2 linked regions of the Arabidopsis thaliana genome follow. The protein of the gene in region 1 interacts with the protein of each later gene in a pairwise test. Each region holds a gene or a part of one and is shown in the gene's direction. Other genes may lie near its edges.

Evidence for each region.
Region 2: the proteins of AT2G39530 (region 1) and AT2G40460 interact in a protein complementation assay, tested with the Arabidopsis thaliana proteins (one large-scale study listed by BioGRID).

Annotation. Positions count from the first base shown.
Region 1 is NC_003071.7:16,497,583-16,501,303, reverse strand, and holds AT2G39530 (Uncharacterized protein family (UPF0497)), read left to right. Parts: upstream 1-1,779; 5' UTR 1,780-1,902; coding exon 1,903-2,081; intron 2,082-2,185; coding exon 2,186-2,312; intron 2,313-2,414; coding exon 2,415-2,645; 3' UTR 2,646-2,940; downstream 2,941-3,721. Other genes in the region: AT2G39540 (Gibberellin-regulated family protein), read right to left, coding at 63-244, 357-438; AT2G39520 (uncharacterized protein), read right to left, coding at 3,683-3,721.
Region 2 is NC_003071.7:16,894,959-16,902,392, forward strand, and holds AT2G40460 (Major facilitator superfamily protein), read left to right. Parts: upstream 1-1,948; 5' UTR 1,949-2,164; coding exon 2,165-2,270; intron 2,271-2,385; coding exon 2,386-2,603; intron 2,604-4,067; coding exon 4,068-4,624; intron 4,625-5,342; coding exon 5,343-6,213; 3' UTR 6,214-6,712; downstream 6,713-7,434.

The DNA of each region.
Region 1 (3,721 bases):
ATATTTCCACACATATAGTACGTAGAAGTTATATGTATGTGATGAGGATCTTCAAAGAACGTTCAAGGACACTTGGATCCACCTTTGGAGTTTTTCATATCACGGTAGCAAGGACATTCATCTTTGTGTCCAAAAGTTCCCGAAGGAACACAATTACACTTCTGGCAACATATATTGCAGTACTTGAGGCATTCTTCATGTTGTCCTGCCTTTGAGCATCTCACATTGCACTTTCCACCGCATGCTGCTAATTCATTTATCACATATATATGTAAAATCTTAGAATTTCAGAAAACTTGTTTCAAAATGATACATGCATGACCTACAATTATTAACTAGATTAAGTAAACACTTACACGAATCAGCACTTGAAAGTACAGAAAATGAAGATGTGAGGAGAAGAGAGATTATGAAGAATTGTACAACCACGAGCTTCATCTTGTTTTCTCGAAAGAGTTTGCTACGTATACAAAATTTAAAGATATGCGAAAACAAAGTAGTGATGGTGAAATGTGGCTACAAAGAGAGGAATCCTTAATAGTGAGAATTTGAAGTGAAATTAATGTTTGTTACTTTAAATAAAGATATCTTTACTTGTTATGTCGGTACTATTTTCAGTTAAAAATATTAACATACAGAAAAAACCATATTCATAAACTTTTTTGACTAAGTAAGTAGTATAATACTAGTATTGAAAGTTTTTTTTGTAACCAGTATTGAAGCATTTTTTAAATTGTAAATTTATTTCTTATAGTGCACATTCATTTCGAATTACATGAACTTACAACAATTTTGAGATATTTTTGAAATCCTGATGAATGATGATTATGACACACAGTTTGTAACACTAACAAATATTCATTTTTATTATTATGTATAACTATTGAAATTCCTTAAGTCACATCTAATATATATTATAGATTAAAAGTATAGCATTAGATGTTGAAAAAAAAAGATTTAACTGTAGTAATAAGCAAGAAGACAGTGAGCCGCCCTTCAAGCACGGCGATGCATGTGGCAGATTGATTCTTAGGAATTGACTCAACTTTTTCGGTCTTCGTTGACTATATATTCAAAAATTGTAAAATTTAACTCAAACAAAAATGTACCTCTTGTTACATGTATTTTGTTCCTCTAAACAGTATGAAAAAAAAACTAAGTTTTCTTTTTAATACGAATGATTGCACCTAAAATTGATAGACGACTAAGTCTATACTGTTACATTAGATGGAAACATGGTTTGAATTATCGCTGCTAGGTGTCCAACTCGAACTTTGTACAGTTGTACTAGGATTCTAATGATTTGCTATGCATATAAAATACATTGTGGCGCAAAAATTACGCTAGTCGCATATTTCTTTTTTGGTTTGTTTGTTTGATTGCATAATTATGATTTGATGTCAAAAGTTGTATAATCAGAATTTGAGAACAATAATATGACAAAGAAAAACATTCTTTTTTCTCAGTTAGATGTAGATACAAGCTTTGTCCAAAAAAAAAAAAAGATATAGATAATAAAAATAATATCAAAGGTTGCCTTCTGGCTACGAAGACTATGAATTTAGACTTACAATTCCTTGGCTAAAAACTGTTTTAAATCTAAATTAATACCATATGTCAATAAAATATATCACGACTTCAATTACTAAGTTAGAACTTAGAAGTGGTGATCGAGTTCCAGCAAGCTCCAGCACGAATTGAAGAATACAATTTGTGCATATATATATTTTACATTATGGTTAAATATTATAATGTAACAAAAATCAACTCTTCGAACTCGAGTCAACGTAAATTTTGGCTATAAATTAGTCAACATTCCATGTCTTGCATTCGAACATCTTAGCCTTAATCATTTTCATCTTACTCTTTAAAGCGTAACGATTAATTAACGGGAAGATTTATATGGCTCCACCACCTCCGGCACCACCGTCCGTTACGTTGAGGACAGTGCTCCTTCTCCTTAGGGTTTTGACCGCGGCTTTCCTCCTCATAACGGTGGTCCTCATCAGCACCAACACCGTCACTCTCGAAATTTCAAGCACGTCTATCAAATTGCCTTTCAACGATGTCTATGCTTATAGGTAAATAAATTATTTACCTTCTCTGTGAAAATTTTGTATCCAATATTTGACTAACTATTTTTACCTATTTTTTGCATATATGTTTGGATTCATCATTCATGAAGATACATGCTGTCCGCTGCCGTCATCGGACTAGTTTACGCCGTTGTACAACTGTTCTTAACAATCTCCCAATTTGCCACCGGAAAAACACATCCTCTTACTTATCAGTTCGATTTCTACGGTGATAAGGTATTTATATCATTTTTGAGGAAATACTATCTTTAAATACATTAAAATTATAAGTCATACTGTATATTGATATATAACAAAATCTGGTTCAAATTTGGACAGGTAATATCATATTTACTTGCAACGGGTTCGGCGGCAGGATTTGGAGTGAGCAAAGATTTGAAAGACACATACATAGCATTAATAGAATTTGATTCGACTGATCCAGTGGATAAGTTCTTTAGTAAAGGATATGCATCGGCCAGTCTTCTTCTCTTCGCATTCGTCTCTCTTGCCGTTTTATCCGTTTTCTCATCCCTTGCTCTTTCCAAACGACCAGTTCCAGTCTCATAAACACACATATGATCATTGTAACCCTACATTATGCTTCCTTCATTTTAATTCACCAATCGTGGAATTTAATAAGATTATACGCTTTTTAAGATTCTTTGGGTCACGTTACCAAATACATATATTACTTTGTTGGCTACATATCTCGCAAGGCTATGTTTGGGAGTACTATTTCTGTGAAAACATATGTAACCAACCTATCTATAAGGTCAAGTCTTCTTATTTCTAATCATCATGCAAAATTATTATTGTGTCGGATCATTAAAAAATGTTATTAAAAAGCCCTAACTTTTCATAATTTGCCAGTAAAACGAATCATTTACGCCTACCAAAAGTCAACATGTATAGTGTCGTTTTGCAACGTTTATGTGTTTTCTTCTTCATCAAAATTGAAGGAAGAAAACAATTTTAATTTCAGAAAGAAAAAAAAAGTAAGGAAGAAAATTCTCAAATTCCTTCACAAACCTTAAACTCTTTTCCATGCAATGTTTGGATGTTACTATTTTCCCGTGTGTGTTTATTGGCAATTTCATAAGCGTTTTAATTAGGCCTACGAAGTCAACGCGTTTGCAGTTACGTGTCATTCTTGTACGAACAATAATTTAAGTATTATACTATTTTTATATCCTGAATATTCACATTTTTTCCAAAAATGTTATTAGTAATTTACATAATTCGTTTATATACGGCTTTTGAGTCCTTCACGATTGCAAATTTGCAATTAAATAATAATAAAAAATAAACAATATGCATTTCTATGATTTTTTTTAAAAATGGTTGACGTTGACATTAATAAAATTCAACTCCTATCGTTATAGTCAATGTAATCATAATCATTATTTAATATTTTTGCTTAGTTAATTCGCGCATTCCGTGTCTTGTAATCTTGTATCATAACAACTAGTATAAAAGCCTAAAAGGGTGCATTTGTTTTTGGATATAAGTTTTTAAAAGGTGCTTAAAATTTACATTTTACATAGTTAATATGGCAGTTCTTTTTCTTCCCTCTAATTATACGTTTATGTAATAAACTGTCAGTGTCAGTGTGTCACCATCGAATCTCTGAGAAGCTCTATGAG
Region 2 (7,434 bases), 400 kb from region 1:
TTATTTATGTAACGTAATCTCACACATTGTTTTGCTACATTTGGGTTAGAAATAAGTTTGACAATCCTTTGTAACACAATGATACCATTGAGTTATTGCATCTAAAAAAACACGTGGTTTCATTATTTGGATTTTGGACCCAATGTCATTTTATTGGGCAGTCTTTTACGGTAAAGTCAAATCTCAGAAATGGTTGGAAATATTTATTTTCCATTCCTTCTTTGGTTATGTTTGTTACGTGTTGTTCTCAGCATCTCACGCTCCATAATATCTGAGCTCATCACATAACAAAACCATTTTTGTCATTTTTTCAAACAATTTTGGGATTTCGAAATGGACCCAATGTAAAAGAAAAAATTTCCATTAATTCTGTGTCCTAGAAAAATAGTTTTGACATATTTTAAAATTATTTGAAATTATTAATATACCTCGTTTTAATACTATTTACTAAACTATAACAACTTAATCTGAGTTATGCCAAAAGTAAAAAATAAACATCCTATTAAGTGTCATGTTAAAAAGAATATATATAATAACTATATCATGATATGTTTGTGATATGAAAGAAGTAAATGTAAAAATGTTTCTAGTTTAGTGATGAGTTTACGAAATTACAGAAAGGTAAGATATTGCTTCAATATTAAAGTGGATGCATTAAGTTCCATGCATGTTTCCCTTTCTCTAATTGTAATGACAAGGGACATCAAGGCTTAAATCTTGGGGCAAGATATCGCAAGCTTTTTGGACCACTATATTTTTTTTCTCCATCTTCCAATTTTATTGGATGCATCAAACGCGTCTTTGGACCACAGTCGCTTTTGATTTTCACTGCAAGCTTCATTTGTTCATGCTTGAAACAGAATGGAATGTCTCAGAAATTTTACTATTGATCCAAGATACTTGATTTGTCATAAATTTCTAGGTCGGCAACTACTGCAAGTGAAAAAGGTCATCCTCATACATACAGTTGTTCTATGACGAGAATATCCGGATATTTTGTCTTGATTCATAGGACTCAATTTTGAAGATCATAGTATCAAAAAGAACTTGAAACCCGAATGAAATAGTATTCAACTTTCCGTTCTTATTAGTTTCACTATAAAAAAATAACGAAAACTTTATTTGTATTTCGTACAAATCCAATTCAATAGTGCATTTATTTTTTCCATGTGCTCCTTAGATATACTGCACGTGTAGTATTAAAATGGTTGGATGTATTTCTGGTGATGAGGCTTAAGTAGCTCATAGAATTAGGAGACCTAATTAAGTAACTCGGAAAATGTAGACTCTAACTCGCAGTAATGTGAAATCTTACTGTATTACACTTTATTCTGAAAATCTAGTAGAAAACACCATGAGTTTTTTAATATGACGAAAGACGAAACTATATATACTTGTAAACGTAGAGAACTAAAATTTATATACAATTTAGACATTTTTTGTTGGAAATATTTATGATATTTTTTTATACAACTTTTATACGCCTCTTCCTATGAGTATTTTTAGTATTGTCGGTCAATTTCATACGAATACGCTTACCATCATTAACAGAAAAAAACAAAACAAAAAAACGCTTATTTCATCAAGCATAGTACGGCATAAAGTAATACAAAAGAATATGATAAATTCAAAACGGCTTATTAAGTTTTTGTTGTTGTTGTTGAGAGGATGGCATAGGTTTATTGAGTGATTCTTATCATTGGATACCTGTTGCTGACCAGAATTTTCGGCCAAATATACATAGGACTTTTGTTGTATTTTCTTCCATATTTAAACTATAATAAACAATGAACCAATTAAAAAATTGTATATGCCATCCAAGGATTTATACTGATGATGATGATGGTGGTGGTTACATGACCAATGTGATGATGATGACATTAATGAAAAGGAAACAAAAAATCTAGCGGTGGCTTTATATATATCACATACTTGAGGAGAGTAAGGCAATAGCTAAACTAAGCAAATCTCTAAGACTTGTTCTCATTTTGTTTGTTCAAAATCCCATTAAAAAAAAACACAATGCAACCTTAAATTATTTCCGTTTAGTCTCTCTCTTCACAGTCCTGACCTCTCTCAACTCTCACAACATTACCAAATACATCCCATAAAAAAACAATTCTTTAAAAAAAAAATATTTTGATATAAACAGAAAAAACAATTAATGGAGGCTGCAAAAGTTTACACACAAGATGGCACCGTCGACCTCCAAGGCCGTCCCGTCCTCGCCTCCAAGACCGGTCGTTGGAGAGCTTGCTCTTTCCTCCTCGGTATATGTTTTCGCAAACCTCAGATAACTATTTTCGTCTATAGATAACTTGAACAAAATAAAAACATAAATCTTTATGTAGTCTTTTGTGTCTTTGTGTGTGTGTGTGTGAGAAGGGTATGAAGCGTTTGAGAGGATGGCGTTTTATGGAATAGCGTCGAACTTAGTGAATTATTTGACTAAAAGACTTCACGAAGATACGATCTCTTCGGTTAGAAATGTGAATAATTGGTCCGGTGCGGTTTGGATCACTCCCATAGCCGGAGCTTACATCGCTGACTCATACATCGGTCGCTTCTGGACTTTTACTGCCTCCTCTCTCATCTACGTCCTGGTATTAATTCTACAGTCTCTTTTATTTCTTATGGTTAAAATACGAATTAAACTCAACTAAACCAGACTTTTACAACTTTTTGAAGAAATCGAACTTAGAAATGAACCAAACAAAATATATTAATTTAAAAATAGTTCAAAAATCTGAACTGGTGAAATATAATTATACGAAAATGATATCAGTAATTAATAAGAGCAGAGTCTACATTATGTATGACCTATTTTTTTTTCTTAAGCTTATTAAAGTTTTAATGGACTCGTCAATTTCTACTTTTATCTTCTCTTAAATATTCTATGTTTCAGATTTTTCATATCAATGAATATATATTTACTCAAAAAATTTTGGGTTGGTCATGATAAAGAAGTATAGATGTGTGTGTTTGTCGCGTTTTGGACGTACGATCAGATAGGGTCCGTGAGCATTTATCCCAAGAAGATCCACTGCCACAAAAACTATTTGCATTTTTCTCCACTGGTTATAATACTTGAGGACAACTGTGTGGTTTCTGTTAAAGTGGATTTATATTATAGTATGAGAATATTATCTTGAAGGATCAGAAATTTCCATATATGTAGGGGAAAAATTGGTATGAATGCTAAGCAGACTGTTTTTCCTTCTTATATAGCAGAGGATTTTTTACATCACCTTGACGGCTGTTTGACAGCACTGATGTGACATCTAAGTAGAAAGAAATATATAGGCCTTGTTTAGTTGTTTTTATAGGCCATGTTTCTATAAGTAAGAGTCATTAATTAGTGTTAGTAAAGTGATGTTAGGTGTTTCTTACAAAACTTGGGTACGTTTCTAATCATTTGGCACTGATAAGTCTGAGATGATTAGATTTAAAATAACCACAGGCTTAATGTCGACCACGTTGATCAAAATGTCGACTACGTGTCAGACTTGAAGGCACCAGTTAACGAAAGCTAACTCCATCCTTTTTTTTTTTTTTTGAGATTTGATTTCTGTTAGATCCTTGGATACGTGGTTTTCCACACATATTCAAAAGGACCCACGATTATCACTTTACTTCAATTTTATTAGTTTAGCAAACCAGATACATATCTTATCAGTATCTAGAGAAAAATAAAAACTTATGACTTTTAAAGATCACATCTCAACCAAGTAATGACTAATAACCAAGTTTATCCAAGTGAAGAACATTTAGTTCCGTCAGATTGAGAGACATGACTCATGATTCATGAAATGTCTTCTAACTTCAAAATGTATGTAGTTGCTAGGATTTTATACCGCCAAGCGAAAAAATTTTCTTTATTTTTTTTTAAAATATTTTCTTTTAAAATAATATTTTTACAATTTTAAAGAGTATTTGAGACATTATAAACAAAAACCAATTTGACGGGAAAAAAAAAACAATTCCTATACGTACATTTGAAACGTACAATAACATTTGGATTAAAATACCGAAGATGATTCCTTATAAGATCGTTATTCTGTTTGCAGGGGATGATTCTCTTGACAATGGCGGTAACAGTAAAATCCCTAAGACCGACATGCGAAAACGGGGTATGCAACAAGGCCTCCTCGTTACAAGTAACATTTTTCTACATATCCCTCTATACCATAGCTATTGGAGCCGGTGGAACAAAACCTAACATTTCCACATTTGGAGCGGACCAATTCGACAGTTATAGCATTGAAGAAAAAAAGCAAAAGGTTTCATTCTTCAATTGGTGGATGTTTAGCTCTTTCTTAGGCGCGTTGTTTGCGACATTGGGGCTCGTCTACATCCAAGAGAATCTCGGATGGGGTTTAGGTTATGGCATCCCTACCGTAGGACTCTTGGTTTCTCTCGTTGTGTTCTATATTGGAACACCATTTTACAGGCATAAGGTTATCAAAACAGACAATTTGGCGAAAGATTTGGTTCAAGTTCCTATCGCGGCATTCAAAAACCGAAAGCTTCAGTGTCCTGATGACCACTTGGAGCTTTATGAGCTTGACTCTCATTATTACAAAAGCAATGGTAAGCATCAAGTTCATCACACGCCCGTCTTCAGGTCAGTGTTGCATATCTCATTAAAGAATTTATTTCTCTTAATTATTTTCTCATATAATAAACTTATCTCAAATTCTGGTTCTAGATAAACGGATAATCTTTTTTTGTCCTCACCACTATATATATAGCGAATCAAAAACCAAGAGAGTATGATTGTAGTTTGACTCCTTGACAGAGAATCATAGGCCAATAGAACCATAGGATAAAAAATCTATCAAAATTATGCCTTTTGTGTGTGGTGCCTGGTGCCTGGTGGTGGGTTATAAAGTGGAATATATATACAATGTTGTTTTCTTTTTTTTATTAATATATCTAATCTAGTGTACCTGCTCTGTAGAATTTTGTTAGTAGATGGTCCCCAGTTCTCACCTTCTACACGTTAATGTGTTCTCCAATATCACCCCACTACAGTTTCGTGCCGAAATCATTTCACATTACAAAAACTACCTAATATAGAAAACTGAAGATATCACAATTGATACAATTTTAAATGTGCGTAGCTTTACTTGTTGGCATATGAAGTATCAAACAAGTTTTTGGAACTGATTGGACCTATTCCTTCATAGCAGTTTAAAAGCTAAAATAAGTTTATTGCATCTCATCTAGAATTAGAAAATATCATGGACAAGAAAAGTCACAAAGTCATTTTCAATGACAATTCAATTCATAGATTTAGTCATTTAGATAAAGTAAAAATAATATGGATATTTCAATTACAGGTTCTTGGATAAAGCGGCCATTAAGACAAGTTCAAGAGTGCCATGTACGGTGACAAAAGTGGAAGTGGCAAAGCGTGTGCTAGGACTTATCTTTATATGGCTTGTCACTTTGATCCCAAGCACCTTGTGGGCACAAGTCAACACTCTCTTCGTCAAACAAGGGACCACGCTGGACCGAAAAATTGGATCCAACTTCCAGATCCCCGCGGCTTCATTGGGAAGCTTTGTTACGCTCTCCATGCTTCTCTCTGTGCCCATGTACGACCAATCCTTTGTTCCCTTCATGCGCAAGAAAACCGGAAACCCTAGAGGGATTACTTTACTCCAAAGACTAGGGGTAGGGTTTGCGATACAAATTGTTGCAATCGCGATTGCTTCGGCTGTGGAGGTCAAGAGGATGCGCGTGATAAAGGAATTTCACATAACTAGTCCGACACAAGTTGTGCCTATGAGCATTTTCTGGTTGCTCCCTCAGTACTCTCTTCTAGGCATTGGGGATGTGTTTAACGCAATTGGTTTGCTTGAGTTTTTCTATGATCAGTCACCTGAGGAGATGCAGAGCCTTGGAACAACGTTTTTCACGAGTGGAATCGGTCTTGGGAATTTCTTGAACAGCTTTTTGGTGACAATGATTGATAAGATCACGAGTAAAGGTGGAGGGAAGAGTTGGATTGGGAATAATTTGAATGATTCGAGGCTTGATTACTATTATGGATTTCTAGTGGTGATTTCGATAGTGAACATGGGACTTTTCGTGTGGGCAGCGAGTAAGTATGTTTACAAGAGTGATGATGACACCAAGGAGTTTAGTGGAGGAGGATGTGTTCAAATGGAGGCCAAAGCCTTAGACACATCTCCTCTTAGTATCTAATTATAGCAATGAGAGATGTGTATATATGGTTTTCAAGAAAATTTGAAGTTGTGCTATTCTAATTAACATGATGAATAAAACTTGAAGTTGGAAGTACCAAGGTTTACTCAAGTTCAATGGTTATGTTCTACCTGTTGAACCTATTGATTTCCTTTGGTCACATATACTTGAACATTGGCGAATTCACATGGTGTTGGTCTTAAATTCAACCAACGATATAGATCTGTTAAGCAAGTTAACTTTGAAAGTATAAGTACCAAGTGGAATAGTATTTTCCCTTAGGACAAGGGATCATTAAGTACCATAGTATGAAGCAACCGTGACATTGGACCAAACCCAAAACATCACATCGTCATCTCCTATAAGGATTCTATCTTTGACCCTAGATAAGCCGTCCAACCACAAAAGCTCTAGTCAATGGTCTTCAAATTACAATTCTGTCTGTGGCCAATTATATCGATACTTTGGTGATTAATTTACGAAAAAATTGTTTTTGTTGGGTCAAATATTTAATTTTCAAATTGGTTATTTTCTAACATTAATTTTATTTTGCCATTATGCAAAACACATCCCCACCGAACATTTTTTGCATGAATCCGATCAGCAAGAAGCTGGATTTTGATTAATTCGATACGCAAAGGAAACTCCGAAAATAAAAATAAAAAAACCAAACTAAATGAATTAATCAATTAATGGTAATATACAGCTGACACTTCCACCCAACCAAGAAACACTATATATATTACACGTAACTGCAGATCCAAAGCCAGCTACACACAAAATTTGGTGCAAGTAGCTTTTTTATAGAGTTAAGTAACATTATGTTGCTTGGATTCTAGAATAACCAACAATATAAAGAAAAAAGGAAAAAAAAAAAGGGAAACTCAGTTTCGTATGTATGACTCACTAATTTGATTTAAGCTACCCAAAATTCAAAATGCATCTTCATCAAGGTTAAATGAAATTTTTTGTAGACCAATTGACTTCTACTTTGTACATCAATAAAACGATATTTCAACCTCATTTAATTATCAGTAATATGAATGCTAAATACTACTACTAGTACTACGTACTTACCAACTAAACAATATTAATATACGTTTGATAGATTAATGAGTAATGACAGGCTATTCAAGACCAACCTTGTTCACTTATATTAATTTAATTTAATTTAATTTATTAGTCACCGGATCACAAATTATCGAAATAAATTAATTATAT